Nothobranchius furzeri: one gene and its partners. The protein of the gene in region 3 interacts with the protein of the main gene of each other region in a pairwise test. Links are inferred from orthologs where the notes say so. Each region holds a gene or a part of one and is shown on either strand. Other genes may lie near its edges. The genes, in order: zbtb8a, hsbp1b, kifc3, necab2, creb5b and sox5.

Region 1 (4,238 bases), on a different chromosome or scaffold from region 3:
GGAGTTGGGCTGGAAGGCTCAATTTGACTTGGAAAGAATGTGTAAGCTCCTGATGAACCACACGCTTAATAATGCGGGACGACTCCTAGATAATGGCCTGATTTTGTTTCTCGCAGGTGAGGATCTGTGGCGTTGGCAGTCCATGAATCCCACAGGATTCAACAGCACATCTTGATGCAGCTGATTTGTTTCTAAAATGCTGCAAAAAATTTAAAATGATCACTTTTTCAGCATTTTTTTTCCTATAACCCATAAACTTAATCTCAGGCCTTAATATATATTTGCAATCCATTTTCAGTCTGTTTTTGAAATAAACTGCAGCTGAAGAAAATCTTTTCAATGTTTTTGTGCATTAAAATCACAATAATGAAATAATTAATCATAAGTAATCTAAAATGTTGTTTAATTTGGTTTTTAGGTTGTTGTTTTTTTGTTCGTTTTTTGCAGAAGCCAAACTATAGAGTGTATATAAATGGAGATCTGCAGAAATCCGGTGTTAACCTGAGCTCTGGGAACGCTGTGGTGGGTTTTAAAGGGACACTGGGGCTTTAAGTGGCTCCTTGGACCTTCGGGCACCCTGTGCATAAACACCCACGTCAGCACACACAGCTCCAGTCGCTGTGGCCGGGTTTCGGTCTTTAGGGCTGAGCAGGAAGTGCTGGCTGTGGACCCTGGACGCGCGCAGGGTGGGGGGGAGCCGAGCGAAGCGACAGAAAGCACCAGAAAATGGACATGGTGGCAGATTTAGGGGCGAGTCGACTCTACCGGGCGCCGGGTGAATCCAGTCACCAGTGAGTATCGATGGCTTTTCTTTGTGGGGCGTAAGCGGGTCTTGCCGACACCTCTCGCCTGAGATGGAGCCTCTCGGTGCGGGCAGCAGGCTGATCTCGCTGCTCTCCGGACCTCCGGGGAGAAGTGGGGATAAAAAAAACCGGGTGTGCTGCCGCCTCGTTCGTCTAGGCTGATTAAATCAGCGCTGATGTGTTTATTTCAAAGCTCGCCAGCAGCAGGAGGGTCGTGAGGCTGTTTTCTATTGTGTGCTGGCTGAAGCCTGAAGTGGGCGTCGCTCCAGGACAGACGGGGCTGCTCCGGTGCGGCGCTGCCCGCTTTTCTCTCGAAGGACTGCAGCGCTACCGGACTGTTTTCTAGGTCAAACGACTCCTTCAATCGCCGAATTGATCTCCACTAAGATCCCTTCTGGTTTTAAATGCTATTTAATAATAACCGTGGTGCTTCCGGCGGGTGTACCGTGGGTTATTATCGGGCGACGCGGAGCCTGATTCAGATATTTCATATCTAAGCTGCAGAACGGGGAAAGAAAACGAGGCTGCAATATAGCTCGGTGCTGAATAATTTTATTCTTTAAGGAGTCCGGCTGCTGTATTTAATTTCATTTTCTCATCCGGCCAGTCGTGACTAGTTGGACGGCTGGATTTCCCAGCGCGCTTTGAACTCAGCACAGGATTGATTAAAGTGTTTGTCACCCGATGCTCTTCGAGTCGGGCGTTGCACATGAAAAAGATGTTCTGACTGAAGGATTGCTCAGCCAATCACAAATCAGGAAGAAGTTGGGTGGGCGATCAGAACTGGAGGTGTTCCAGTTTAGAGAGACGGTTGTGTCACCCTCAGCTATGCTTAGGTAAGTCCATAGGGTCAGCTGAGTTTGGGAGCGGTTGCTGACTCATCAACACTTGGATCAGTGTGTGAACCACCTTTGTTGTTCGTTTGTTTTAAGGAAACTACATCTCAGAGTGTGTATCTGTTTTCCTCTGCTTGTCCGAGGCCAGCTTTTCTGGGGAAATCCTAAGGTGTTCCCAGGACAGACGGGAAATAAAGTATATTGTGTCCTAGGTCTTTCCTGGTTGAACATATCGTCCAAGAGGCATCCAAACCAGATTCCCACGTTACTTCAATTTGCTCCTCTTGATGTGGAGGAGCAGTGGATCTACCTCAAGCCCCTCCCAGATGACCGAGCTTCCCACCCTGTCTCTAAGTGAGAGCTCAGACGCCCTGCAGATGGAAAACATCAACCCCATTGAACTCTGACTGGCACAATGCCATCCCACAGCAGTGTGTGCCCAAGCTGGTGACCATGTTGTGGCTGTGTCTCCTCCACATGAAACTGAGGCCCCTGTTTGATTTGTTTCCTTATGCTTCAGTCATCAAATCCAAACCACACCAACAAGAGTCGGGAGATTTTGGATGAAACCCACAATCTTAACTCTGTTCAACTTATAAATCTGCTAATGTGGCACCAGGATAAAGATAAAACTGATTTTCCAGCAGTATAATGGTGAAACTTGAAAAATTAGAATATGATGCAAAGTCTATTTCAGTAATCCATCTTAGACTGAGAGACCATCTAAAGGAGAAGAAAATATCATTTCTATAGCGCCTCTCAAGATAGAAATCACGAGGTGCTTCACAAAAACAAAAAATGTAAAAATATAAAGAATTAAGAAAATGTTTAAAATATGTTTAAAATGAGCAAAAAATAGACAAATGTGATTAAAAAATGTAAAGAAAGAGAGAGAGTGAATAGGAAAGAGGGAAATCAGTGGATCCTGAGGAAGGTGGAATAGGTGGGGAGAGCAGAATAAAGAGAGAGTGGTGAAGAAGGTCATCCAAAAGCCAGCTTGAACAAGTGAGTCTTCAGCTGCTTTTTAAAGGAGACCACTGAGTCCACTGATCTCAGGCTCAGGGGGAGAGGTCCAGAGTCTGGGGGCCACAGCAGCATATGTTCTGTCACCTTTGACCTTTAGCCTGGTGCTGCACAACCAGTAGGCTTTGATCACTGGACCTCAGGGACCTGCTGGGGGTGTTTGGACTAAGAAGATCACCAATGTAAGATGGTGCTTGTCCATGTAAGGCTCTATAGACCAGAACCGGGATCTTGAAATGAACCCTGAAGATGACTGGCAGCCAGTGAAGCTGGAGGAGAAGCGGGGTGATGTGGGTGTGTTTGGAGGACCTAGTCAGAAGCCGAGCACAGGCATTCTGAACCACCTGTAGACGGTTCAGGGAGGTTCTGCTCAGACACGTGAAAAGAGAGTTACAGTAGTCTAAGCGTGAGGAGATGAAGGTGTGGAGAACTTTCTCAAGTTCAGAGCGGGACAGAATGGGACTCAGCTTAGCAATGTTCCGGAGATGGAAGAAGGAAGAGCGAACAAGAGAACTGACATGAGAATCCAGGGTGAGAGCTGGGTCAAAGGTCACGCCAAGATTCCTGACAGAAGGTTTGGTGTGGGAAGCAAGCTGACCAAGAGAGTCTCTGACTTTAGGAACCAGCTTGTCTGGGGCACAGATGAGGATCTCAGTCTTATCTTCATTCAGCTGTAGAAAGCTCCCAGCCATCCAGGCTTTGATAGAGTCTAAGCAGGTGTGTAACAGCTGCAGCTTAGACATCTCATGGGGCTTAAAGGAGATGTACAGTTGGATGTCATCTGCATAAAGATGGTAGGAGATTCCTTTGAAGGAGCTCAGGATGTGCTGAAGAGGAAGCAGATAGAGGAGGAAGAGCAGAGGCCCCAGCACAGAACCTTGTGGGACACCATGGGTAAGAGAGGTGGTGGAGGACCTAAACTTGGAGACGGCCACAGAAAAGGAGCGCTCAGAAAGATAAGAGGAGAACCACTCCAGAACAGTTCCTGATTGGCCTACCCAGTCTCTCAGCCTCTCCAGTAGCAGGTGATGGTCAACAGTGTCAAAGGCTGCAGTCAGGTCCAACAGGACCAGAACAGAACAGAACAGTCCCCTGCATCACTGTGAGTCAGAAGGTCATTAGAGACCCTAAGAAGAGCTGTTTCAGTAGAATGAGCTCTACGGAAACCTGACTGGAAGCTATCATAGATGTTCTGTTCATCAAGAGCAGCTGTGAGTTGTTTAGCCACTGTCACATTCTGCTCCTGCCTCCCTGACTGTGTCTCTCCCCTGCCGTTTATTAGTCCCTACTGGTTTCACCTGCCCAGGTGTTCCTGATTTGCCCCTGTGTATTTATACCTCCCTTCTTGTATCAGTCTTGGTCAGATCATTGTTTGTTGTCAGCGTTGTTTTTGTTCTGTCGTTCCCGCTCTGCCATTAAAACTACTTTTATTTCATCCGTGCCTGCATTCCTGCCTCCTGATCTGCTCCACCACACGTGGTCTGCCGTCATCCACACCCTCAACATGACAGCCACAGCCTTTTCCAAGATCTTGGAGATGAACGGAAGTTTAGAGATGGGTCTGAAGCTGCTACGG
Region 2 (4,048 bases), on a different chromosome or scaffold from region 3:
CCAGTTTCTCCCAACAACAAAATGTTATTTAATGCATGAAGAAGTTGGAGCATGCAACATTCACATATTCCAGATGGAGTATTGTGCATAAGTCTTAAGCCAGACAGTCCTTTTATGAAGCTGGACTCTTACAATATTAGACGCGTTGCAGAATAATTATCCTAACATTAATTCATTCACTAATGAAAATAGAAAATCTCAGTTTTAGGTGCCGGATGTCCTCAAAATAGAGTAAAAAAGCAAATGGGATGGAGGTAAAATGTGGCAAAAAGTGGGCAACCCTGGGTGATCAGGTGTAACTGCTTTTTCAAGCCTAAACCATCAAATCTGAAGTTTGCATACAAAGATTAAGAAGAAATGTAAAGGCCTACATACTTAAATAGGTGGCTCAAGACTTTTGCATAGTACTGTGAATAATGTACAGCACAGTTCTGGCTTATAACGTATAAAACAAGCACCCTAGCGTTAACTTTAGTTATTCAGAAACTAATCAAACCACTGAAATGGATTGCAAACTGCAGTATAGAGATAGCTTTAATAGATCAGACGTGGAATGCATTTAGCACATCTGGAGCAACAGGGCTGGTGGTCAAACACGGCAGCCCGTTCAGTATGTCGTATCCATGCTGCGGCCTGGCAGCCAGTGGGGTTTGCTCCTCAGACGAGCTTTACCGACATGGATCCAGCTGCACCATCACATACGGGGACTGACACATTAAACGCTGGCAGCTAAAGAACCTCTAGAAACTGCTTTCTTCCACCTGAAGATCAGAAAGACATATCAAACTATTCTACCTTGCAAATGATGCTCAACCTTTAGCTTTAACATTACCGTAACCATCTCACAATATTCAGTATATAAAAACATCTAACATAAGTCATAAGTAAGTTTTAGTGAAGCCTGCTGCCTCCAGACACACTGGACCGACTTCACACCGCGTGGTTAAGAAACCTGTAAGACAGAAAAAAGCATTCATAACTGGCGTGCAATTTAAAATGTACTAACTAGAAATTCAAATATGACGTCCTAAAGCAGTGCTCCCCAATCCTGGTCCTCAAGGGCCACCATCCTGCAAACTTTAAAGGTTTCTCAGCTTTCACACGCCTGCATTTGATCAGTGGATGAATAACAAGCTTCTACAGACTTTGATGGCATTGTGACAGGGTGAACATCCTGTCCCTGGCTACTTGGCCATGGGGATGTCCCTTTGGCTGACTGGTTAGCACATGTGACTCTCACCCGGGAGTCTGCGGATCGAATCCCGCCCAGGTCCATGTTTCTCCACCTTGCCACAACATAAACGGGTAATACAACTATTAAGTCTGTCGAAGAAGGAAACCACTAAAACATGCTGGACGGTGGCCCTCCAGCCTTGGTATACCATTTCACTTTTTACCTTCATTACGATCCCTGACCCTCTTTAGCCTTTTCCGGCGTTGCCTCAATCTCTTCAACGCCGGCCTGAGTCATCAGGTCAGCGATGTTCTTCTCTAGGTCATCAATACGCGTGCTCATCTCATCAAGTAGAGATTTGGTTAAGGAAAACCAGAAAACTAACACTTTCCTGGGTGAAATCCGTTAGTATGTGATTAAAAGGAAAAGTATTTAGTAGATTTGAATGACAATGCTCTGTTCATTAAAATTGTTAGGATATTCCTTCCAATTATCTGGTCTGACATGGTCTGAAACTTGTCCTGCATCTGCTGCAGCAGTGTCTGAACCTGTAGAAGAAACAAGGTGTTAATCAAGAAATGATGACGCTGATATAATACACATCAAAATAGTCAAATGTATAGTTGATTAGTTTCTTAGGATGTGAAACAGTCGTGACATTTTAATTACCGGTATCTGGGAATTGAAAACAAAGCCTGTGATCTATGAACGATATCTAAAAGAGGCGAAAATCCATCAGCTGTGTCCCCATGCCAACGGAGGAAAAGATTGGTAACCATGGAGATCTGCTTTTAATTCATTCTTAGAGGATGTGTGGTGGACAGAGAAAACACCCACACATTCGCAGTTAGGACTCTGGTCATCTCAAAAGGCAGCTAGCTGTGAGGGGTCATTCAGCTCTTAAACGCCTCTCACGAATGCTCATCTCCATGGAAACACTGAAACATTGGCCAAGATGTCTTTGTGAGACACTAAATGATTACGTAACGCGCAAATGTGCTGTTTAATATCACATTTGAAAGAGAACAATTGAAAACATGTCTTAATTGTTCAATAAATCTTACTGATGTAATAATGCATCCTACAGTAACGAATGCTAAAGCGGTTTGTTGTGACTGATTAAGCTAAATGTCAGGACAGTTTAGCTAATGCAACATTTGATCAACAGACGTGTTAAACTGGAATATTTACACAAGTAAGCGTGATTATGTGAATACCCAAATACACTTGAGCAATCTTACTAGCAATGCAAGCTAGCAGTAGCTAGTAGCACTAGCTTGCATCACGGTCACGACTCACCACATTTGTAAGGTCCTGCACCGTCTTGGGATCCGTCTCAGCCATGTTGTGAATGTTAATCCGTGCCTTCACAATACAATAAATCAGCTATAAATCACCGTTTTACTATTGGACCGCTCAGAACAGACTAACACTCGGTAGAATCTTCTGCAGTCAGCTGTTCCCACAACAAAGACAAGTCTCGCGAGAGTTGAGTGGTGCTGGGCCGTGTGGAAGATGGAGTTCTGATGGGAAAACATGCACGGTACTTGTGTAGTTCATGCTCAGCTTGCCAAGAGACGCGCTTCTTTATGAGTGTAGGCTCTAATTGTCCATTACATGAATCGGTTGTAGCCATAGACTGTACATACTTACATACTGTAGGTTGTAGCCTTTCATAAGAAAACATGTTCATGTCCGCGCGAGCGCGTGCATGCGCACGGCCGAGCGCGCACGTCTTCCTCCGTTTTCAGCAAGTTTGGATTTGAAACTTGGAGCTGCCAAGAGTTTCCGTGTGTTTTCACGCCCAGACTGCGTGAGAGTGGAGCCTTGTACATAAATAAGTTTGTTTCACACTGACGGGACGTGAATGAAGGCGCCTGGTAAGTAAAGCAGCAGCAGAGGATGTTTAGGAATGTCGCGACATCATAATTCCAGAGAGCGAATCAGATCCGCGGGTATCAAGTAGCGCTTTGCAAACTACCAGTTTAGTAGGGACGTGTTGTTATTTATTAATACTTTTTGGATTTAATTATGAATTCAGCATAAAAGAGCACACATTCCATGTTTATATATATATATATTTGTGTGCGCGCAGTAACTCCAACCCAGTAGCCCTATGTTGATGTTGCGGGTGTTGTTAAAGTTGGCCCTGCCCCATGAAACTATTTGCTTACATAACCTGAACTTGTTCTCCTGTGTGCCACTCAGCATCTGGTGTGTGTGAGTTTAAACGTCCAACCATGAGAGACTATTTCACGTGCTGAAAACATGTTGAATTAAAAAATAAATAAATAAAACGTTTGCATTTATAAACTTGCAGATGAACCAGGTGTTTAATAGATATTATTAAAGGATGGGTTTGCTCCATCAGCTCCAGCATTTGTTGGCTAATCATGTGTTCATCACATTTTCTGCACTGCACACCAAAATGATGTTTAAAGTTTTCTTATAATATGAACAGAGAGCTTGTTGTTTGTGCTCTGATGGCAAAAGCATCTCTACAGCTGCTGCTGTGTAATTAGTCCACTAGCTGACTGGAACATCAGTGAAACAGCACAGTGGTGAGTTCATGGGCTGTACCTCCTAGCTTTGATGAGTTGGTTTCTCAACAGATGGAACAAACAACACCGGCACCTCTCTAAACTCCACACACTCAGCTAGCTGTTCGCTCTGAATGTGTGGGTCATAGTGGACACTGCAGCATGTTACTGGAGGTGTTTTATGTTCCTGTATGAACCTGCTTAAGTCGGTGTATGTAGTGGGCCTGGATGGTAAAAGCTAATGCTTGTATATCAGTCAGAAGCCCGTTAGGAGGAAACGCTGGCCTGGCTGCATTAAGACACTATCTGCTAACTGTGGTATTCTAACCGACAC
Region 3 (3,612 bases):
GACAACCCGCCATACCTCCATGGTATACGTTTTCCCAGAGCCCGTCTGTCCGTAGGCAAAGATACAGACGTTATATCCGTCAATGCAGGAAGTGACCAACGACTGGACTTCCTGGAACACCTAATGGACCATTCAGAGAGAAGACCAACAGGTGAGGATGATAGAAGCCAGCTGTGATAAGGACAACAGCTAAATCGAGCCAATCAACCGAGTCATCGCTAAAACCTAGATAATGTGTTCGGAAACTTCCAAATGACCTCTGACTCATGTGACTCACCTGTACCTTCAGCTCAGAGAACATTAAACCTGCACAGATCAGAACCCATGGGTCCCCTGACTCAGCAGGTGGGCCCAGACACAAGTCAGGAGATCCTGCTCACCTCCTCCTGTGTGGCTTGAGGTGGGAAGACCTTGTCCAGCTCAAACGTCATCGTTTTGCCCTTGTTGGAGATGTAGAGAACATCGCTGTCGTCAGAGTCGAAGCTCAGAACCGTTCTGGAGTCGGCAGAGTCCTGCTCATCCTGACTGACGGGCCGAACCCGACAAAACACTCTGATGTTACCTGTGAGACAAAAGGTGTGGACGTTAGGGTTCAGGTTACAGGTGGAGGTGTTTCCTCAGGTGGGGAGGTCTGGTTCAGACCTTTGAGCCGGACCAGCTCGTTGTGGATCTTCTTTCTCAGGTTCATCTCTCGTTTATATTTCTGCAGCAGGTCCTGGCTGGTGCTGCTCACCTGACTGATCACCTGGCAAATCTGACAAACACACACGTGGTTACAGCTGACCTTAGGTCAAAAAGTAGAACCAGAATCTTCTGGTGAGCAGATGGAGTAAACTAGTGTGTGTGTGTGTGTGTGTGTGTGTGTGTGTGTGTGTGAGCTTCAGCTAAAATCAAATATGAAAAACTCACTACTCATGTAAAAAGGGGCGGTTATTTTATTGATGCTACACGATTACATCCCATAAGGGTAACGCGGCCTCAGTAATCCTATAAAAAGGAGTGAAGTCGCTCCAAAACTCCACGCTGTAGTTCTTTTTTAAAACACAGAGCAGTTTCGTTACCTGTTTTCCCGCTACGTTTCGTCTGCGGCTGCAAACTTCCTCAGGCTGACGCTGATGGTGGCGTCACTTCCTTCTCCGTTTATCCGCGGGCAGCAGAGGACGTTGTCGCCCTCTGCTGCCCGCTCTCCCCTCTCCGATGATGCAGTCCCGTACACGATCCAATGTGTCGACCCCATCGTCTCTGTTCATGGTCCCACATCCACGTCTCCTTATCTCGATTGCTTCTTTTATCCATCTTTTGTATTTCTGTTGTTCCGTGTTTATGATCCTTGTGTTGTCCCAGTCCATTATATGGTTTTCTCTTGTGCCGTGATCTGTTACGGCTGACTTCTCTTTTGTGCTTTCTGCTTCTTGTTTTGTGTGTTTTCGACTTGTTTCTTTCTCGCACTCCTTTCTGTGTTCTATTGTTTGTGTGTTGAGTTGGCGTCTGGTTTCTCCTACGTATGTTCTATTGCAGAGTTTGCATGGGATTTCATATAAACGGAGAAGGAAGTGACGCCACCATCAGCGTCAGCCTGAGGAAGTTTGCAGCCGCAAACGAAACGTAGCGGGAAAACAGGTAAACAAAACTGCTCTGTGTTTTAAAAAAGAACTACAGCATGGAATTAGAGCTACGACACAGCGAGAACACACCTAAGACACAACAAAACTGCAAAAGGAAAGGGCAGACGTGGAGCTTCTCCAAGAAACACAAACTTTTAATGGAAAACTATTGAAATATAACCTAAACCTCTATGGTCGAGAACAACTTTAGACTTTATGTTTATGTTTATTTATTTAGCAGACGCTTTTATCCAAAGCGACTTACAATTTATAGCCTATAGGGCACGTTGTGATCTGTGGGGGAAACCGGAGTACCCGGAGGAAACCCACACATGCATGGGGAGAACATGCAACTCCAGGCAGAAAGGCCGCAGCCGAGTTTCGAACCTGCGACCTCCGTGCTGCGAGGCAACAATGCTAACCACTGCGCCACCATGCAGCCCTTTAGTTAGGGAACAGAAGTGATTCTATTCTATTTACTCCCTAGATGACCGTTTACCGCCCTACTGCCGTCTATGCTCACTTCCTGTACATTTTCTACATTGATAAGAAGAACAAAGCAGCAAACCTCCTGTTTGGCGTCTCTGATGGCCTTATCCAGCATGGAAGGGAAGTCCTGAGCCTGCTTCTTCAGACTGTTGTAGTCCACCGTCAGAGTCCTGAGAGCTGGCTGTAGGGTCAAAAGGTTCAGACGGACCCCTGCAGACAGCAACATGGTCAGGAGAGCACACACACACACACACACACACACACGCACACACACACACACACACACACACACACACACACACACACACACACACACGCACACACACACGCACACACACACACCTGCCAGGTTCTCATGGACAGCTTTCATCTCGCTCTCTGCTCTGATGAACGCCTCCTCAATCACGCGGTTCTTCTCCTCCTCCAGGTTCTGCATCTCCACCTCCAGCTGACTCTGAGCTCGCTCCATCTCGCCCTTGTAGACCACGATCTGAAGTAAACAGCCAGAGCGTTTGTGTATCAGAACCTCATCCTCATCAGGAGCTTCATCTTCATTTGAGGAGTTTATTGTGTGGCTGAGATTACTACTGGTCCAGACCTGGTCCCGACAGACCTGGTTGAGATCTGAGGCCTCATTTGTAAAAACCTCTGTGCAGGATCCGTACTAAAACTCTGCTGAAACTCTAAGCAAAGTCATTTCTTTATAAATCACACTCTTAATAGAAATGTATTTGGGGTTTTTGGATCACATGCCATCTCCTAGAGTTCTCAATTCTAAACGGAGTCTGACCCGAGTAAGCCCTACAGGTCTCGTTGGTTTGTAATCGAGTTAACTGGGCAGGCCGAGTCGGGTCAGACACTGAGGATACATTATGACAGTTGTCCAGTCTCTGTTACCATGGTGATCTAGAGTCCAGTCTTGTTCTCAGAAACGGTTCCCTGCAGCACCTGTACCTACCTGGGTTCGAAGCTGAGTGCAGGTCCTCTGTGACTCGTGCAGCTGGGTCTTGAGCTCCTGCAGCAGTTGCTTCTGCACAGACAGCTGCTCCTGCAGGACGTCGTTCTTCATCTGCATCTCTGTCCGAACTTTCTGAGAGTCCGCCTCTGTCTGGGGCACATACTGAGAGACAGAGTTCAAAGGTCACTTCACCTTTGAATTTAATCATGAGTCAGGGTGCATGACTTGTCAGAACAAAACACAGGTCTACTAGATCTGGTCTCTCGTCTACAATGTCTGGTTCCCGATGCCTGGTCCCTAGTATCAGGTCCATGGTCTCTGGTCCCTGATGCCTGGTTCCTAGTCTCGGGTCCATGGTGTCTGGTCTCTGATGCCTGGTCCCTAGTCTCAGGTCCATGGTGTCTGGTCTCTGATGCCTGGTCCCTAGTTTCGGGTCCATGATGCCTGGTTCCTAGTCTTGGGTCAATGGTGTCTGGTCTCAGTTCCCTGATGCCTGGTTCCTAGTCTCAGGTCCATGGTGTCTGGTCTCTGATGCCTGGTCCCTAGTCTCAGGTCCATGGT
Region 4 (3,612 bases), on a different chromosome or scaffold from region 3:
GAGGAAGTGAGCCTGAGACACAGCCTGGTTTCCATTACAGCCGCTGACAATCAGAGTTTTACACATTATGCTACGAAAGTGATGCAAACACACACACACACACGCACACACACACTTCCCCATCTCACACGTGGCAGCTAGCGATAGCCTCGCCGGCTCACCCCAACTGGCCGTGTTGCTCGTCGATCGCGTCCACAGCACTTTCCACGGAGCTCAGCAGGGACTGGATCTGATTGGCAGATTCCTTCAGAAGAAAACGCGTCACAAACTGCTCCACGTTGGTTCCCCTTTCATAAACCTGGAAAAAAAGGAAATTTTTCAACATTTAAAAATAAGAAAAAGTGTCTTCAGAGCAACAGAGTGATTCATTTAACCACAGGGCTTTACTGTAACCTTTGTGCTGCAATGATTCACTTTGCTTTCATTGAAATTTGGATGGACGACTTCTCCATGAGTTTCTGCTTGTTGAGCCTTAAAAAACCTTTTGGCGTCGAGTTAAGTCGCCGCCTGTGGAGACGCGCTTCAGTCGGCAGAAAGGATCCTCTGTATTCTTTCAGTTTTTATTAAGGATTACCACGAGGCAAGGCTGATACGTTAGCAACCTCCTCCAATTCAACGCAACAGCTTTGTGGGAAACAGGCCAAGAATCGATGCGGTCGTCTGCTGTCAGCATCACTCACACCCCTAACAAGAGAACAAGAGCGGCTCACATGAACAAAAAGGAGCGTCGTAGATCTGCATTTCATGGAGACGGTTAAACGTGGTTCTGAGGAACCTTAAAATAACTATTTAGAAGGTTTAGAGACAAGTGAGTGTTTAAAGGGACATTATGGAAGTGTGACAGCTAAAACATGTATAGAAATAATAAATGTCTTCTTCATACATTCTCCTGCAATGCCCTGGTCCTGTAGAATGAGCCCTGGCATTTTTACTGTGATTGCCTGTTTTTCTGTAAAATCACAGAAAAAGAGAGATGCTCGGGTCGAGCAGGCTGCTTCATGCGCGTTCACGCTCAGGCATCGCCCGTAGCATTTGCTATCCGTAGCTTTAGCAGCAGAGAGAGAGGCAGTGCCACTTTGTCGCTGTTCCTAACGCCTAGTGACAAAGCTAGCTACATTTCTGAGGATCCTTAGCTACTTTCTGTAGAACTTTCTTCTAGATATTTCCTGCAAATTAGCAACAAAATAGCCATTTTCACTCCGAACCGTTCTTTGGTTTGTCGTTGTTTCAGCTGTCATCAAGGATATAAATGTTACAGATACAAAAGACATCACTGGAGCTTTAGCTCACCAAGTAAGACGTTGAACTCTCGTGCGGAAGACCTGGGTTTGATTCTGGATGTGAACATAGTTTATTTAGAGTTTATTTTTTACATTAATGGTATATTTTTTTACAGTAAGACGCCCAAATTTTTATTTGAGACTCGCTGAACGGCATTGAATTCACAGATAAAAAAGATGTGGGTTCAACTTTCATTTTGGAACAATTTTTCAAGCAAGGGAAGGGAATGATCTGAGCATGCAGGAGGACTGACCCATCTTAAACCTTTGTCGGCTGTGCTGAAGAGAAAGGTACAGAACCACATTATTTAATTAATTAGCTGTGCGTTCTCCTGTCCTCTGTCCTCCGGGCAACACCCACCCCCACCCCCCACCCCACACACCCACACACGGGACTGTCTCAGCTGTTATTTTCGTTAAGGAGTGTGCACGTACAGCATGCGCGCCTCGCACACGAGCCTACTATTGAAGCTGCCATTACACTTTTGGCCTGAGGGGGCAATCGCGAGCATAAAAATTCAAAAGTCCGTAAAGTCCCATTAAATTTTCAAAATAGACATCAAAGAAGCCCGAGCATCAACTCTGATGACCTCTCTGCAACTTCTTAATTATTTATGAATACAGTGATCCCTCGCTACTTCACGGTTCGTTTATCGCGGATTCACGACTTCGCGGATTTTTTCTTTGGAGCCTTATTCAAGGGAAATTCGCTGATTCGCGGTATTTTTCTATGCGAAATATCAAGACATTCCAGTTTTTTTCCATCATTTCATCATAAAATGCACTATTTGTAATAAAACTATAAAAAAACCAAGTAAAAATACAGTACTATGTAAAGGGAGGGTTTTAAAAGTCTGAATACTGAATACATACCTGTTAAATAAATACTTTAAATATGGTGTCCCTACATGGCGGATTTTCACCTATCGCGGCCAGGTCTGGAACGCATCTACCGCAATAAACGAGGGAAACCCCTCCTCTGCTCAGTCAGCATCCAATCAGAACAGAGCACAGCAGGCCTCGTCACATCCGGAAACTTTTACCAGCCGTGTGCATTAGACTGTGGTGACGCTGGGGGTCCTTTCAAAACAGCATTAGCTAAATTAGAAAAAAGAAAGCTGCGAATGAAGAAGCGTCCAAGGTAATCAGGCTAAGCAGAGTCAACTCTTGCTTAGAAAAACTGCTTTAGAACTATTTGAAAACCTGTTTTAGCAGAAATCCATCTTCAGAGTCCACCGTGGCGTGGACACCATCAGTCAGCGCTAGGTTTTATTATTCTAGCGATTCGTCAATGCAGAATTCTTCACGCCTCCTGGATTTTAAATATCTAGCAACTCTTTCATGAGGAAGTCCATCCCAGTTTGTGCCCAGCTCATGTTCACTTCAGAAGCTCTAGGTAGATTATGAAACAATATCAGAAGGGCTTTAATTCTGGATTAGAGCTTTTAATTTAGGGCTGCATGATGAGAAAAAATTACACATTTTATCATCTAGACTCAAGAATTTGTTTCTTAGCTAATACAGTGTCCTCTGCATTGGTAGGGTTAGAAATAAATCATGGTTAGGGTTAGGGAACAACTATTTCCTGGGTTAGAAATGACAAGTCCTGCCAGATCCTCCTGGAACGTAGAGCAAATATCTGGACAGACCACACCACGATTCTGCTCTTCGGTCTAGCCCGGCTCCACAGGAGCCTCGGTAGTTTAGTGGGCCAATCACAGCGCTTTATCGGTTTGGTGGGCGGGATCATGCGATTGAGCAAAACAACTGATGGCGACAGCTCATTTGAGATGGCTTTGGCATCAACTTTGGATTATTTAGTTGGGCCCAGAGCAGATAGAGGTACGGAGGTCCTTTATAAAAAAGTAAAAATATAAAAGATGTATTTGAGTCTTCTTGTACAGCGTATGACGGACTGCTCCATTGACTGACACCTGTAGCGGTGAGTACTTCACGCTGTTTGTTGTCCAATAGCACGTGGAGACCGTTTGAAAGACGACTGTAGATCCCGCCCCTTGGCTGAGTCGGTTTATGGGTCGTGGCCAGACTATAAACTCACATGGCCTGCCAGGATACCAGGGACGCTGCATTCGTCCTTTTTTCTAGAGTAAAAAAATTCAACATTGATTAACACCAGCCTAAAGGAGTTCTGCTGTGTGGTGGGGTTGCTAATGCTAACAATTAGCTTCTGCTAGCAGAGATGGACTCTCTGCTAGCAGCCTTACCCGGTCATGAGCAAAGATGGCTGACTCCATAAATGTAAATTTTACAATGTGACGTAGATTTGAGCGGCTTCTTTCAGAGGCTAATACAGGAAATGGGGATTAAAGAA
Region 5 (3,612 bases), on a different chromosome or scaffold from region 3:
ATCCGCTATGTGAGCGCGTCTGCATCGGCTACTTGAGCGCGTCTGCATCCGCTACGTGAGCGCGTCTGTATCCGCTATGTGAGTGCGTCTGCATCGGCTACGTGAGCGCGTCTGCATCCGCTACGTGAGTGCGTCTGCATCCGCTACGTGAGCGCGTCTGCATCCGCTACGTGAGCGCGTCTGCATCGGCTATGTGAGTGTGTCTGCATCCGCTATGTGAGTGAGTCTGCATCCGCTATGTGAGTGCGTCTGCATCCGCTATGTGAGCGCGTCTGCATCGGCTATGTGAGCGTGTCTGCATCCGCTATGTGAGCGTGTCTGCATCCGCTACGTGAGCGTGTCTGCATCCACTACGTGAGTGCGTCTGCATCCGCTATGTGAGCGCGTCTGCATCCGCTATGTGAGCGTGTCTGCATCCGCTATGTGAGTGTGTCTGCATCCGCTACGTGAGCGCGTCTGTATCCGCTACGTGAGCGCGTCTGCATCCGCTATGTGAGTGCGTCTGCATCGGCTACGTGAGCGCGTCTGCATCGGCTATGTGAGTGCGTCTGCATCCGCTATGTGAGTGCGTCTGCATCGGCTATGTGAGCGCGTCTGCATCGGCTACGTGAGCGCGTCTGTATCGGCTACTTGAGCGCGTCTGTATCCGCTATGTGAGCGCGTCTGCATCGGCTACGTGAGCGCGTCTGTATCCGCTACGTGAGTGCGTCTGCATCCGCTATGTGAGCGCGTCTGCATCGGCTACTTGAGCGCGTCTGCATCCGCTACGTGAGCGCGTCTGTATCCGCTATGTGAGTGCGTCTGCATCGGCTACGTGAGCGCGTCTGCATCCGCTACGTGAGTGCGTCTGCATCCGCTACGTGAGCGCGTCTGCATCCGCTACGTGAGCGCGTCTGCATCGGCTATGTCAGTGCGTCTGCATCCGCTATGTGAGTGAGTCTGCATCCGCTATGTGAGTGCGTCTGCATCCGCTATGTGAGCGCGTCTGCATCGGCTATGTGAGCGTGTCTGCATCCGCTATGTGAGCGTGTCTGCATCCGCTACGTGAGCGTGTCTGCATCCACTACGTGAGTGCGTCTGCATCCGCTATGTGAGCGCGTCTGCATCCGCTATGTGAGCGTGTCTGCATCCACTACGTGAGTGCGTCTGCATCCGCTAAGTGAGCGCGTCTGCATCCGCTATGTGAGCGCGTCTGCATCCGCTATGTGAGCGTGTCTGCATCCGCTATGTGAGTGTGTCTGCATCCGCTACGTGAGGGCGTCTGCATCCGCTATGTGAGTGCGTCTGCATCGGCTATGTGAGCGCGTCTGCATCCGCTATGTGAGCGTGTCTGCATCCGCTATGTGAGCGTGTCTGCATCCGCTATGTGAGCGCGTCTGCATCGGCTATGTGAGTGCGTCTGCATCCGCTATGTGAGGGCGTCTGCATCCGCTATGTGAGCGTGTCTGCATCCGCTATGTGAGTGTGTCTGCATCCGCTATGTGAGCGTGTCTGCATCCGCTATGTGAGTGTGTCTGCATCCGCTATGTGAGCGCGTCTGCATCCGCTATGTGAGCGCGTCTGCATCCGCTATGTGAGCGCGTCTGCATCGGCTATGTGAGTGCGTCTGCATCCGCTATGTGAGTGTGTCTGCATCGGCTACGTGAGCGCGTCTGCATCCGCTACATGAGCGCGTCTGCATCAGCTATGTGAGTGCTTCTGCATCGGCTATGTGAGCGCGTCTGCATCGGCTATGTGAGCGCGTCTGCATCGGCTACGTGAGCGCGTCTGCATCGGCTATGTGAGCGCGTCTGCATCGGCTATGTGAGCGAGTCTGCATCGGCTATGTGAGCGCGTCTGCATCGGCTATGTGAGCGCGTCTGCATCGGCTATGTAAGCGCTTCTGCATCGGCTATGTGAGCGCGTCTGCATCGGCTATGTGAGCGCGTCTGCATCGGCTATGTGAGTGCATCTGCCTCCGCTGAAGTTTGCACCGTTGGTATGCAATGACTGGAAGTGAGCTGAAGGCTACGCACCATATGATTTACATTACTGTAAACAGCTTGCCATAAAGGTGTCTAATGACAGACAAGAATGTGTGTGCATGCGTCACCTTGGCACACATCTGCGAGCAAAGCTGCTGGACTCTAACAGTGTTGATGCTGTCATAACTCACCTGATAACATGTTGTCATTCTTTATGCTGGGGAATTTAAGGGTCATCTCATGTTTGTGTCGATGGATCATCAGATGGTCTTCCGTGGGGAACCGCTGTTCGGTTTGGAAGAAGAAGAGGTGTGTGAGTATTATTTACACTAACGAGAAGAAACTGTCTAAAAGTCTTGAGGTACATCCCTGCTTTAGCTTCGGAAGAATCAGAATTTCTAGTAATAAATCTGGACTTTTGCTGTTAGTTTCAGCTATTTTCAGTCCAGTGCCTGAAAACGAACTGATCTGTTTTTCTGTTACTTGTTTAAGCCACTTGATCCTGACAGTGAATCGTTCAAGCGTGGGAAGCTAAACTCAAGGCATGAGCCACTGTTGCATCAACACTAAACAAGCAACTAGACAAAAATACAGTTTTAAATTAGATCAGTCTGTCACAAAGACTTCACTTGTTCCAATTTTTCTGTTGAATTTATTAAAAAAAGGTAGCGACACAGGGCCAAGACCAGGATGGTGCATTTCTCACGTCCTGGATCAACTTTTTGATTGATTTCTTTTCTCCATTTATTAAAAATACAACTTTCAGATCGTTCATCTGCTGCAGACAGTTTATTTTAGATCTAAACTTATTTTGTCCTCCATCCTTAGTGTCATGATCAAACCTAAGAACTGGACAGAAAACTAGTAAAATAACCGTCAAAGTCTATAAAAATCTTTCCAAAAACCTGGAGAACTATTGATCAAGAACACTACCAAATATTACAAGAAAGTCTGGCTGCTTGGTGGTTTCGGGCTTTGGTTTGTACCCACACTGACCTGAGAACAGCCGGGAGCGTTACACACAAACAGCCTTTCCTGGTCTGAGTTCATCCCTCTGGCCAGAGTCTCATAAAACTAGAGAAAACATAAAAAAGAAAATATGAACTGTTGTTTCCTTGAAACAGTAACTTTGAAAAAGCTTGAAAAAGTATATTTCAAATGCATTTTTACATAAAATATACGAAGTTTTGCTAAAGCATAACATGTATTCTCAATAGATTGTATAAGAACAAATATACAGTAAGAAGTACTAATCCTGTTTCGTTTAGCTAATTTAAATTAAGTCATAAATGTTTTCTCAAGAATGAACACGCTGCTCTGCACTGATCTACAATCACCAGCGAAGATGCAAATTTCTGATGCATCAAACCAGCGAAATGATTAAAGGTTTTGCTGATTTAGTTGCTAGAGTTGTGTTGAGGAACGTTCTGTAAGGTAAGCAGTGGACAGTTAGTTAAGAGTTAAATTCATTTTCAATATATAAACACAACTTTTAATCCAAATGTCCTTACAGCTCTAAACACATTTAGCTTGGTTCTTAGATCCTCTTAGATAGAAAACATACCCGACCCCAACCCTGTTCACCAGAAAAGTGTCTCGTAGCACACGTTAATCGACTCTTCAGGTCATGCATGAAACCTGAGTCAGA
Region 6 (4,377 bases), on a different chromosome or scaffold from region 3:
AATAGAAGGAGAGGGAGGCCGAGACGTGAGGCCACAGGGGAAGAAGAGGGCAGAACGGCGCATTAGTTTGCAGAGCACGGACATTCTGCTCAATTACTCTACTCCCCTCTCATTCACACACACACACACATTTTGTATTTCTCCCCCCAACACACACACTTTAATCTCACCCCTTTAAATGGACTGCGACTCTGACACCGGGAGCTGCGCAGCGCGGCGCTCAGACTGGAAACAAGTTGTTTTCTGCTGCTGCAAACCTTTCACTCCAGAATCCGGGACTCCAAAATAAAATCCAGCGAGAAAACAGGAGGAAGGTTTGCACACGAGTCACGCCGTTCTTCATCAAGTAAGAGAAGCTGCACAGGATGTTGTTGCATTAAATCAAGTATTACACATGCAAACATGTTTTGGTTAATTTTTCTAAAGTAAACGTTGAATATAGAACTTTTATCAAAAGTTTGAAAAACAACAAACAAACTTTAAAACTTAAAGTTCAACTCTAAAAAGACTGATTTTTGTCTTTCTCCACACACACACACACACACACACACACACACACACACACACACACACACACACACACAGGGGACAAATGGAGGGGTGTGAAAATCCACCACCACCTTTACACCACACAGACAGACCCCCCCCCCCCCCCCCCCATCTCTGGCACTCTCACTGGTCTGTAAACCTGCTTCTTCTGTCTGCTGGTGAGGAATGTGTCAGTTTGACCACACTGCTTCTCTCCGTTCATCTCTCCATCCTCCAACTCCCTGAAATCTCTAAATTTTTTGTTCCATCTGCATTTTGATTGCTTTGGCTCGCTCCAATTTTGTTATTTATTTATTTTTAATCTGTTTGTGCAAATAAATAAGCCGATGTTTGGTTTCACTAATTTCCCTTCTTGCCTTTAAGTTCAAACATGCATTTGGAGAAGCCGAGCGTGAGGAAAAGAGTGTTTGGAGTATGAATACAAAATGTTTAAATCACAGAATATTAGAAGCAAATAAAACAACGTATAATATGACATTTAAAAAAAAATCCCAAGACTTTTAAAGTTGAAAATGAATAATTGTAAAACCAAAATTCTGTCTTATCTCAACTATAAAAAAGCAGCTTTTCAAACATGCTTTACCACCCGTCTCTACAAACTAGTTTAAATAAAAAAACGAGTCAGTGGTTAATTTTAGAAGAAGAAAAAGGAACAAAAGAAAAAGAAAAGTAAAAGAGAAGGAAGTGAAGGAGGCAGCGTGGTGTGAAGCAGGCGAGCGGACACTTACAGTAGCGCAGGAACCGAGAGCATCATCGCAAACCTCTGGGGCTGGAGTACACTCTGGTGACTCGCGCACCACCAAGGGACCCCCCCCCCCCCCCCCACACACCCCCCCACACACACACACGGCCGTAGTGATGGAGTGCATTACTGGAAAGCAAGAATTTTAAGCACTCTCCTCCTAAGTCATTGTAATCCCTGCATTTATCTCCATACATTCTGCTTTTTGGTGTAATCCCTTAAATTTTTAATTCCTCCAAGCTGTTGTTATCACCCCCCCCCCAAACACTTTGCAGTTTAATAAAAACACATTTTTTAAATCACCCCAATGAAGTTAGCTTACCTCAGAACAAAGGGCGTGAGACGCAAAAGCCCAAACTCAGAGAGCTACTTTAATGTGTGAGTTTGAATGAAACAATATTAGAACATAATCTGCCTCTCGCTGCGTTAGGATCAAACAGCCTTTATTCTGAAAGCCACTTGTGTTGACAGTGCAGGGTTAGAGGGTTCACACCTCTAAACGAAGCAGGCCTGCACAAACACCGTCAGATTAATATTAGCATAAGGCACGAAAACAACAACAAGTCCAGAGAGGGATTACCCAGGGGCTTTTATTGAATTTGGATTAAAACGAAAAGAATGTTTTAAATAAATACAGAACCCAACATTTCAAATTCAGCTGATTTTAGATGTCTGTTCAGATTCATTAGAGTTTTCTTCTCCTGCAGCTGAACGCTGACGGGGTGCAGAAGTAAATAAAGTGATGGCGTGAAAAGGAGATGATGAGAGATGATCACACGCACACATCTCTCTGTTATACACACATGCACCAGCACTCTTTGGAAGTAATGATTTGAATGAACACAACTTTTTATGAACACAACTTTTTGTCAGGACAAACAGAGAGGAGCAGGAGGAGAGACGGAGGGAGGGTTTCTGTCACACACTGTATATTACTTGATCTGCTCTGAAGTGAATCATCAACTCTATTTTTGTCTCTCTCAAACACACACACACACACGCATGCACACACTTGCGCGCACACACACACACACACACACACACACACACACACACACACACACACACACACACACACACACACACACACACACACACACACACACACACACACTCAAAGTTAACTCGCCTGACTGCTTCACACATTTTTACTTCTTCATCCTTTCTGTGTTTCTGTTTTGTCTTCTGTCATCTTTCTGTGTGTTTGCATGTTTGTTTTTGTGTGTGTTTGTTTGTGTGTGCGTGCATGCGCGCGTGTGTGTGTGTGTGTGTGTGTGTGTGTGTGTGTGTGTGTGTGTGAGTGAGAGAGAGAGGGAAAGCGTCACATACCTGTTACACTCCTGAGGTAGCTCAGGCTCAGTGAGCATGCTGGAGTAAGGGTCCGTCTCTCTCGACAACAACAACATAAAACAGTCCAACAATGCTCAGATGAACAAGGTTAGTCTCCCAAAACAAGACCGGATTGAAGTGATCCTTCAACCTCTCGCTCACACACACTGCTGTTTCTCTCTCTCTTGGTGCGCGTGTGTGTGTCCCTCTCTCTCTTTACTCACACACTTCCAAGCTTACACCCTCCCTCTCTGTCTTTCTCTCTGCCTCCGTCCCTCCTATTCTCCCTCCCTCACTGTATGCTGTGAGAGCCGGGCTCAGCTCTTAAAGGGCCAGCGGCGGCGGAGCCCCCTCTCCTCCCCTCTCCTACTCCCCCACCTCTCTCTTTCTCTCTGTGTTCAGTAAGAGAGTGTGTGTACAAGGGAAGAGGAGGGGCTTCTTGACCAGAGTTCATCAGTGCTGTCCACTTCCTCAAGTCGCTCCTTTTTTCCTCTCTCTCTCTCTCTCTCTCTCTCTCTCTCTCTCTCTCTCTCTCTCTCTCTCTCTCTCTCTCTCTCTCCACACACACACGCACGCACGCACATGCACGTACGCACGCACACACACTTCATTATGCAACATGAAAAGAATTATTTAATTTCAGAAATAATTTTCCTCCTTTATAAAAGATTCAGACAACTTTTTCATTATTTCCAAACTAGTTTATATAAAAATGTCAAAGCTGTTATGTGCAATGATCAGGAATCATTCCTGAGCCTAATTCAGTCACGCGATGTGGTCACTCAAAAAAAAGTTTTTTTTTTTACTCTTTCATATGTTTATATAATGATATATTAAAATAAAAAACATTACGTGTTGCTAAATTAAAATTACCGTAATTTCCGGACTATAGAGCGCACCTCAATATAAGCCGCACCGGGCTAAATGCCGCAGATATCTACTGAATTGAAAACGTAGTTTAACTGAACGTAACTGAACTGATCAGTATCAAACAAAAAAGTTATTGATTAGTTTATTCATCATCCTCCTGCGCACTGAAACCACTGAAGTCTTCTTCTTCTGTGTTGGAGTTGAACAGCATCAGAAGAGCTTCGTCACATACCTTTTCTGTGGCGATGTCAGTGTCGCTCTCCGTGTTGCTGTCATCATCCCGGGGTGAAGCTGGGAAAACAAGCAGCGCCGTTTTACTGTGAAAAAAATCCTCCTGGGCGCTTTCCGTAGCACTCCTTTAACCATTCCTTTATTACTTTCCAGCATCCATCCTTTCTGGTTGACTAAAGCCGCACCTCATTATAAGCCGCGTGGTTCAAAGCGTGGGAAAAAAGTAGCAGCTTATAGTCCGGAAAAAACGGTAACCCTTACATTGTTCCATTTGATAGAGACAATGTGTCGTTTTTAAGAATAATCTCTGGAATTATCCATCAAAATGTTGTTGAAAATGACTTAAATGATGGCCAATTGTTGAAACATATTGGTGACTTTGTAACACATAATCATGTAATACACGAGAGCGGGTGTAAAGCTGTGTCCAAATCCAGGGGTAGGATGCTTGTGAGAATGCATTTTCAAGTCGATGAGGTCACAGCGCAGCGACGAGTACTGTCTGAATTTAAAGGATACTCATTCACGCATCCTCAAATGCGTCCTCGCTTCTACCAAAATTCAAGGATGGGTCTGGTGTGTCTTCACCAGACAAGGCTTTCCCAGCATGCTTTGTGCGCCTGTCGTTGGGTTTTCAACAGGAAGGAGAAAGAGGA

The links.
Region 1: the proteins of kifc3 (region 3) and zbtb8a interact in binary tests that used the Homo sapiens proteins (3 or more experiments, as listed by UniProt). The two-hybrid records come from large-scale screens. The link is inferred for Nothobranchius furzeri from reciprocal best matches to the Homo sapiens genes KIFC3 and ZBTB8A.
Region 2: the proteins of kifc3 (region 3) and hsbp1b interact in binary tests that used the Homo sapiens proteins (3 or more experiments, as listed by UniProt). The two-hybrid records come from large-scale screens. The link is inferred for Nothobranchius furzeri from reciprocal best matches to the Homo sapiens genes KIFC3 and HSBP1.
Region 4: the proteins of kifc3 (region 3) and necab2 interact in binary tests that used the Homo sapiens proteins (3 or more experiments, as listed by UniProt). The two-hybrid records come from large-scale screens. The link is inferred for Nothobranchius furzeri from reciprocal best matches to the Homo sapiens genes KIFC3 and NECAB2.
Region 5: the proteins of kifc3 (region 3) and creb5b interact in binary tests that used the Homo sapiens proteins (3 or more experiments, as listed by UniProt). The two-hybrid records come from large-scale screens. The link is inferred for Nothobranchius furzeri from reciprocal best matches to the Homo sapiens genes KIFC3 and CREB5.
Region 6: the proteins of kifc3 (region 3) and sox5 interact in binary tests that used the Homo sapiens proteins (3 or more experiments, as listed by UniProt). The two-hybrid records come from large-scale screens. The link is inferred for Nothobranchius furzeri from reciprocal best matches to the Homo sapiens genes KIFC3 and SOX5.

Annotation. Positions count from the first base shown.
Region 1 is NC_091758.1:35,826,825-35,831,062, reverse strand, and holds the start of zbtb8a (zinc finger and BTB domain-containing protein 8A), read left to right. Parts: upstream 1-1,353; 5' UTR 1,354-1,487; coding exon 1,488-1,639; intron 1,640-4,238. Other genes in the region: gale (UDP-glucose 4-epimerase), read left to right, coding at 1-41, 117-175. UniProt on the Homo sapiens protein: May be involved in transcriptional regulation.
Region 2 is NC_091744.1:87,756,927-87,760,974, forward strand, and holds hsbp1b (heat shock factor-binding protein 1b), read right to left. Parts: upstream 2,613-4,048; 5' UTR 2,519-2,612; coding exon 2,474-2,518; intron 1,723-2,473; coding exon 1,656-1,722; intron 1,525-1,655; coding exon 1,403-1,524; 3' UTR 1,398-1,402; intron 953-1,397; 3' UTR 517-952; downstream 1-516. UniProt on the Homo sapiens protein: Negative regulator of the heat shock response. Negatively affects HSF1 DNA-binding activity. May have a role in the suppression of the activation of the stress response during the aging process.
Region 3 is NC_091749.1:65,941,299-65,944,910, reverse strand, and holds part of kifc3 (kinesin-like protein KIFC3), read right to left. Parts: intron 3,214-3,612; coding exon 3,052-3,213; intron 2,584-3,051; coding exon 2,436-2,583; intron 2,304-2,435; coding exon 2,173-2,303; intron 755-2,172; coding exon 643-754; intron 563-642; coding exon 381-562; intron 121-380; coding exon 16-120; intron 1-15. UniProt on the Homo sapiens protein: Minus-end microtubule-dependent motor protein. Involved in apically targeted transport. Required for zonula adherens maintenance.
Region 4 is NC_091744.1:83,414,479-83,418,090, forward strand, and holds part of necab2 (N-terminal EF-hand calcium-binding protein 2), read right to left. Parts: intron 299-3,612; coding exon 162-298; intron 1-161. UniProt on the Homo sapiens protein: May act as a signaling scaffold protein that senses intracellular calcium.
Region 5 is NC_091745.1:35,742,041-35,745,652, reverse strand, and holds part of creb5b (cyclic AMP-responsive element-binding protein 5), read right to left. Parts: intron 3,039-3,612; coding exon 2,961-3,038; intron 2,250-2,960; coding exon 2,156-2,249; intron 1-2,155. UniProt on the Homo sapiens protein: Binds to the cAMP response element and activates transcription.
Region 6 is NC_091741.1:56,411,053-56,415,429, forward strand, and holds the start of sox5 (transcription factor SOX-5), read right to left. Parts: upstream 2,894-4,377; 5' UTR 2,698-2,893; coding exon 2,621-2,697; intron 1,301-2,620; coding exon of another isoform or gene 1,278-1,300; intron 1-1,277.